Linked DNA regions of Daphnia pulex. The protein of the gene in region 1 interacts with the protein of each later gene in a biochemical or structural test. Links are inferred from orthologs where the notes say so. Each region holds a gene or a part of one and is shown in the gene's direction. Other genes may lie near its edges. The genes, in order: wee1-like protein kinase and putative peptidyl-prolyl cis-trans isomerase dodo.

Region 1 (4,352 bases):
CAGTCACGCACGGATCACGCTGTTTGTCAATGGACGCCCCTATCAACAGATGACGTTGGTCTTTTTTGTGAAAGTGCAATTGTGCAAGACCCTTGCAATTATAAAACATGTTCAATTTCGGTTACACTTGGAATAATAAATTTAAATATTCGCCCTATTTACTGCTTTGGTCAAGGTTGATATAGTCTCGAGGTTGATTTTATATCATCAAGTTATTGCGAGATAAAGTTTTCTCGTCCGTTGACAATAAGTGAACAATGTCTCAGGGACGTGGACGTTGCACCCCCAATACACAAGTGCATTACGATTCAAAGTGCCCAAGTGGTGTAATAAAGGGGGCAGGGCCACAAGGTGAATTGACAACAGGATTTCAGCCATCATGTCTTCAATGGCGAATAATAATCGATATTTAAAGGGAAAAATAATACATAAGAAATTATTGAATTTTCATAACGTCTAAAAGATGCTGGCCATGAAAAAAGATTGTTGTGAAGTCAAATCAAATGGAAATAGCCGTTGGCCCGAAGAGTTTTTGGCTGAAAACACGACACAGAAAAGAAATCTAGATATGAAAGGGTGAATCACCTATACCCCTTTTGCTGGCCTTTGGGATTCATATTTTTAAAGGTTATTGGCGAAAGGAGCACGGTACATAATGCCCAGTTGGCCAGGCAGCAGCACACACAAAACCCCCAACTGAACTCACCTCACTCAGGTATACGAAACAGTTAGGATTTCCCTGGGAGATGGATTACACGGTGTGAAGGGACGTTACCATAGTTCACTAGCCCATTTGTATATTCAGTGCGACTCAAAATCAGAGTGGATTATTGGGAGACATTTGAAAAAAATATATCGATGAATACTGGGCACACACACGTCCCCCCTATCGCAATTAGGCCCCTTGGAGTGTGTGAATGATGGTCCAGTTGAATAGACCCGATTAACTAATCCATCAAGCATAACAAGGCTGTTCAACTAGGTCAACGGTTTCCTCGATGATGCCCTTTTCCTTCAAGATATAACCCCTTGCTTCTTTGTTATAGCACGCGTTTTTTCCTCCTCCTGTTGTGTGCCAAGTTTGTTTACTTCTTTCGTACACCTTTGCAGGTAGAAATCGTAAAAATTCCCGTCACCCGTGGACCCGCTATCGCAGTTTGCGAACAGCAAGGTGCTTTATCCTTGTTGTGATACATGGAGCGCGAGCGAGCCACCCTTTAAACGCTTAAAGTTATTCAACCGTCAGTTTATGCTTCACACACTTTTATTTTGTCAATACGTTTATAGCTCAGGATTAGTTTAGTTAATAAAAAAAAACAGCACCACATATCAATAAAATTAAAATTACATTTTAAAATTTTATTTAAAATTTTGATTTTAACGACATTTTATAAGACATCATTAAATAAATGTTTTTTAAAAACATTATTATTAAGAATATTAATTTCAAAAATTTTTATGTTAATAAAAACAAATAAAATTAGAAATCGAAATATTTATTTTTCAAATGTGAAAGTAGCCAAGTTATTGCAGCTGTTTCCTGTTTTGTTGTGACGAAATTTGAATTTTTGTGCGGCCGGCGGCCATGTTGTGACGCATTGGGTTTTGGCGGGTAATTTTCTATACCGCATTGCCGCAAGCGCTTCCCATCCCTCGTTGTGGGCGCCGCCATGACAGTTGTACCAAAACACACGTGAAAAGGAGGGGAGCTGGCGTCTGGCAACGCTGCATCCGTCTATTACAAAAAGAATGGAAGCCACTGAAACGGGCAGTCATTTTTGAAAGCTCCACACAACTGTCGTGACCAGTGTTCAGATCAAGTCGAACAGTCTCGCGTCGCATCATTTACGCGTTAGAAACTTTAACTTATTTTTTTTCTCAAAGAGGTGAAAACAAAGTTCACTTTAGTGTGTTTCAATTTCAAGAGTCTGTTCAACGCGTCATCATGGATCGCGATATTGAAATGGAAGAGAACCATTGCCGCATAGCACAGCGGTTGGAATTCCCATTGAGTGACGAAGAAGATTTGCATGAGGCATCCTCGACTACCGACCGGACTTCTAGCAACATTTCATCAGATCGTCTGGACTCATCTGGAAGTGATGAAGGCCTTGGAATGACCATTCGGATAACCAGTCCTAGAAAGCCAAGGTTTCTTCGAACCAGAGCCAGAGAATCCATGTCTCCCCCTTACAGTGGAGTCCGGGCTCTGAGGTTGTTTGATTCCCCGGCAACTCCCAAAACTCTCCTGGAAAACAGTTCAGCTATGATTACTCCAGTTCTAGCTACGCCTGCACCAAGGAACAGGATGAGGACCCTATTCAACATGAGTTCTGCAAAATCAACTGGTAAGAACCATACATCCAACATTGTGTTTATCTTTTCCCCGTTTTCTATGATTTCAAAAAATAACTTTATTGAATGTTTTCTTCTATAGATAAAAAAGACAACTTGGACACTCCACCTGCTGCCAATGTCAACCCATTTACACCAACTGGAATGCTGTTGACTAGCAAGAAGAGAACCAGATCTAAACGAAGTCTCAATGGGTAAGTTCTTTTGCTGCACTTCCCTTATTTCTTCATTTCTCTTTCACTCTGGGTTTCTTCTGTTTATATAATGGCTAACTTTAACGGAAAGCTTCGCTGAAAATACGTGCCGGATGGAAGATGTCCTTTTATAGACACACATTTTGCATCTATTAGCCTTAGCGATATATGGTGATGCGTTCGCAGTTGGGTGACTCATATATCCCAACCGGTTATCAGTAATTCAGTGGTTGTTGCATAACCCGAAGCGTTAGTTTGAATTTTCCTACCATGCAAAGTTTGAAAGTAAGACATTAATCCGGTTTTCCTTGAGATTCGGAGAAACATTTCTAAACCATCCCATTTCCCTCAATCTGTCAAGGACGCATAACATTTCGCAAGGTTGATTTTCTGGTTATGCAGTTACAACGTATTTTTTGGTGAAATTTCCGTAGACTCTAAAGAAAGTGCAGTTTTGACTTGACAGCCCAGGTTAAGATGGGGGGGGGGGACTCTTAAATTGTGTGCAACGTGATATGTTTATTGGGAACAATAGAGGGATTTGTCCCTCGTTTTTTTCCTCCCAAGCCTTTTGAGTTGAAATGGCAGGGGTGGGTGGAGTAAGCCTTCGTTTCAATTATCTTGTTCTACCGGGTTCCAAGACTTCGAAAAATGAAAACATGTTTTTTTTCCCCATAAAATCTAATTTAATCTATTTGCTGTGACAGGTCGTTAGTGAATTCCTTTGACGAAGAGGTCCATGAAGCAACCGATGAATCAGACGAAGAATTGCCCCCGAAAAGGATTGCTCTGCATCAAACTAGTGTCCCCAGATACCACAAGGTACAGTAAAATTCCCAAGGAGATTTGGGTACACAACCCCTTTTTCCGTGTGCCACGTCGAACCACATGGATCTAACCCTTTTTTTTTATTCCTAAAAAACATTAGGAATTCCATGAGATCTGCCTGATTGGAAAAGGAGAATTCGGTTCAGTGCACAAATGCCTTAACAGGCTCGATGGATGCACCTATGCCGTCAAGAAAAGTTTGATGCCAGTAGCTGGATCCCCGAATGAGTAAGCATCAAGGAATGTCCTACCTTTAAGCCAATAATTAACATTTGTTTTCTTCTCTTTTTTTAGACGATCTGCTCTTAACGAAGTATGGGCTCACGCAGTCCTTGGCCAGCACCCTCATGTTGTTCGCTATTATTCGGCCTGGGCTGAAAATGGTCACATGATCATTCAGAACGAATTCTGCAATTCTGGCACCCTCGAAGAATTGATTCGCACTAATCAGCAAAACAATGTCATAGTCAATGAACCGCAATTAAAATCGACATTGTTGCAGGTTGGTTTTATTCTTTTCTATCCATTTCTGGCAGTAGTTAATTTATGTCTTGTTATTTTTCTTTTAGATTGCAGAAGGATTACATTACATTCATTCCAAACAGTTGGCCCATATGGATATCAAGCCGGGTAACATTTTTATCTGCCGTGAGAATATCGACGACTGCTCGGTTCACCACGACAGTGACGATGGATTTGACGAACTTGATGACGATTACGGATCCGTGACGTATAAAATTGGAGATTTGGGTCACGTGACGTCGGTTGTGCAGCCAATCGTGGAAGAAGGCGATTGCCGTTACTTGCCCGTCGAAATCCTACAGGAAAATTACGACAATCTAGCCAAAGCTGATATCTTTTCCCTGGGTCTTACAATCTACGAGGTAATAATCCACTATCGAATCATCTCTTTTCAGTTCATTACTTAACTGTTTCCTTGTTGTTGTCCTCGTTAGATGGCTGGCGGTGGTCAAC
Region 2 (2,995 bases), on another chromosome or scaffold:
ACAAAGGAGAAAGACATCCACGTCAGTGATTATTTGATTGAAAGTGGATTTGTTTCGCCTTGCGAAGAGGAACAAATTGCTGTTGCCTCCGCAAATTCTGTTTATGAATATTCCACGCCGTCGCCTCCAGCTGAACACACCGGTAGAGCGCCTTCACCAAATCCAACTGAACACACCGGTAGAGCGCCTTCACCAAATCCAACTTGCGCGTTTCCCTCATCGGCAGTAAATTCAGTTACAAGCCAGATGCAGACAACAAGCATTTCGATTACGACACCGACCCTGATTTCAAATAACGAACATCTTGATTTCGAGAATCCATCAATAGACGAAGAGGTATTCAATGAAAGAATTTCTTCGAATATCCAGCCTGAAGAAAACGTGATTGCCTCGGTGAATGAACCCCTTCCAGTCTTAGCATCTGAAAGAAGGTAAAGAAGCTTATTTTTTTTTAAATACTTAAACTTGATTTCAAACTCCATTATTTCGATTGTTTGCAGTTTGGAGGCGAATGAGTCAAAATGCGTCGATGTAATAGGTAAATCCCCATTGAACTATTTCGCTGTTTTTGTATTTTTTTGAAATTTCATAATTCTATATTGGATTTAAATGTCATCAGTTTTGAAAGACGAACGAAGGCTATATACAGTAGAAGATGGTGGTGAATTGTATCTTCCTAAGCCGGACATCTTAATGCTCATCCCGAGTCTGGATAGTCAAATTGCCGCCTTTAAAGCAAAGATCGACTGCAAAGTAGTCACTGCCGAAACGCATCCAAATATCTTTGCCGATTGCGCGAAGTAAATATCTTTAGCCATAATTTTACATGATTTAAAAGAAATTCATCTGATTTCGTCTTATAGGGCTGGGGCACCTTGGATGAAAGATGATTCCTTATCTGAACTCACTCTTTATTCACTGCAATATGTTTCTCTACTGTTCTTCTTGTGTTCGGTGAAAGATAAGGTTGCCTCTTCAGCTATTGAGGTAATTTATTGCATCTAAGTTATCAAATAATTAATAAAGCATGTATTAACATCATTCTTTGATGTTTGTAGGCAAAGCGAAAAGAATTCAGCAATAAGTAAATAAGCACATTTTTCTTTTTATGATTTTCATTGAGTGCTCAAGTTTGAGCAATTAATTACCTTCCAATTCTTTATTTTATCTGATAAACAAGTATTTAAACCAGGAAAAATCAGTTTTTATAAAATTGAATCAAAACTGTCATTGAACAAAACATACTGTCCTAATTTTGTAATTTACTTGTATTGTTTACTTTCCGTGCAACAATAATACAGAATGTAAAAAATGAAAAATTTATGAATTAAAGATGAAAATTTTCTGTAAACTAAAACGTCTTTTGTAAATTCAAATTGTATTGTAAAATCAAGTTCAAATTTGAAATTTATGTTAATGAAGAAGTGCAAGTGCTGCCACCTAGAGATATGCTACCTAGTTACCTACAGTATCTCCTTCTCTGGACTGTTCTTTGCTGTCAAAGTCAAATCAAGCCGACAACTTTGTCGTAGTTTGAAAACCATACATACTATTGTCGCTATTTTATATTTAATATAATTCGTCGTGTGCACATTTCGCAAAGTCTCTATACTCAGTCAACACCACCATCAAAATGTCTGAAGAATTGCCACCTGGTTGGGAGAAACGTGTAAGCCGATCGTCAGGTAATATAGTCATCTTCTTTAATGCAATTAGTAGCTGGAAACTATTGTGATTTTCGCTTTTATTTATTCACTTTGTATTGATTGCAGGAACAAGTTACTACTTGAATATCTACACCAAAGAGAGTCAATGGGATGCTCCAACTAAACCAGCAGAGCGTGCTTCATCAAACGGCCCAGAAAAGGTTTGTTTTTATAAATAATTCTCTATTACTGTCATCAAACCAAATTGTAAACTAAAAGTGTATCTCTTAATCAGGTTCAATGCAGTCATCTTCTTGTCAAACACAGGGATTCTCGTAGACCATCATCATGGCGGCAAGACAACATCACCATATCTAAAGAAGAGGCTATGGATTTGCTAGTTGTTTATCAAGAGCAGATTGTTAATGGTGAAGCTTCGTTTGCTGAATTGGCCTCAAAATACTCAGACTGCAGTTCAGCCAAGAAAGGTGGAGATCTTGGTAGTTTTGGTAGAGGAGCAATGCAGAAACCGTTTGAAGATGCTGCTTTTAGCTTAAAAGTTGGTGGAATGAGTGAACCTGTGTGGACTGATTCAGGAGTTCATATTATTCTTCGCACTGCTTGAATTACATTTTTCTTTTAATTCTCTTTTTACTAGAAATTTTGGATGTTTTCGTCTATTGCATACCATACCCTTATACAACATTATTATTGCAAGTATAAATTTGTTTTTTACAATTTCTTCAACTAATTTAAGAAAACACATCAAGGGTTCAGAGTTTAGATTATCTAAAAATTTTTGTATTTACCTGACATTAAGTTTGGTAACACATACTGCATATTTCATGTTTGCTTACTGATGAATTTCAAAATTGCCAATCGATCAGATTATTTACACAAATCGATAACGTCACATAGGATTAAAAAGGGAACGACCACAGAATGAGAATATTAAAATTAGAGGGGTCAGATTACAATTTGGCGATAATCGATAGAACGTGGTAGTTTTTTTTGTTGTTGTTGTTTTATTTTTGCGCCTTCGGGACATAGAAGGAATGGATGGTTTACTCTTCTTTATGTGAAAAATGGGACCTAAAAAATATCAGGATAGTCTATTGTTCGAGACAAGTGGTGCGGACAACCACTTCGGTCACTTGATATGGATCAGAGTTGGAAGCCGGACGGCGATCTTCCAAGTAACCTTTGCGTTCTTCAGCCACTCCACGAGGCACGCGAATACTGCAACCGCGGTTAGCCACACCTGAAAAAGAATTTAAAATTTAAAAACTGAATTTAATTCAATCTCTCCATTTGACATACCGGCAGAGAAATCGTGAATGGACGAAGTT

Evidence for each region.
Region 2: the proteins of wee1-like protein kinase (region 1) and putative peptidyl-prolyl cis-trans isomerase dodo form a complex in vitro, tested with the Homo sapiens proteins (2 studies listed by BioGRID, with this or other methods). The link is inferred for Daphnia pulex from reciprocal best matches to the Homo sapiens genes WEE1 and PIN1.

Annotation. Positions count from the first base shown.
Region 1 is NC_060025.1:7,991,607-7,995,958, forward strand, and holds the start of wee1-like protein kinase, read left to right. Parts: upstream 1-1,261; 5' UTR 1,262-1,851; exon of another isoform or gene 1,852-1,925; 5' UTR 1,926-1,945; coding exon 1,946-2,348; intron 2,349-2,437; coding exon 2,438-2,549; intron 2,550-3,256; coding exon 3,257-3,371; intron 3,372-3,477; coding exon 3,478-3,605; intron 3,606-3,671; coding exon 3,672-3,879; intron 3,880-3,946; coding exon 3,947-4,261; intron 4,262-4,333; coding exon 4,334-4,352. UniProt on the Homo sapiens protein: Acts as a negative regulator of entry into mitosis (G2 to M transition) by protecting the nucleus from cytoplasmically activated cyclin B1-complexed CDK1 before the onset of mitosis by mediating phosphorylation of CDK1 on 'Tyr-15'.
Region 2 is NC_060017.1:4,463,065-4,466,059, reverse strand, and holds putative peptidyl-prolyl cis-trans isomerase dodo, read left to right. Parts: upstream 1-1,468; 5' UTR 1,469-1,633; coding exon 1,634-1,685; intron 1,686-1,772; coding exon 1,773-1,867; intron 1,868-1,941; coding exon 1,942-2,271; 3' UTR 2,272-2,366; downstream 2,367-2,995. Other genes in the region: tudor domain-containing protein 7A-like, read left to right, coding at 1-431, 501-538, 620-800, 864-987, 1,059-1,088; glutamine synthetase-like, read right to left, coding at 2,759-2,907, 2,967-2,995. UniProt on the Homo sapiens protein: Peptidyl-prolyl cis/trans isomerase (PPIase) that binds to and isomerizes specific phosphorylated Ser/Thr-Pro (pSer/Thr-Pro) motifs.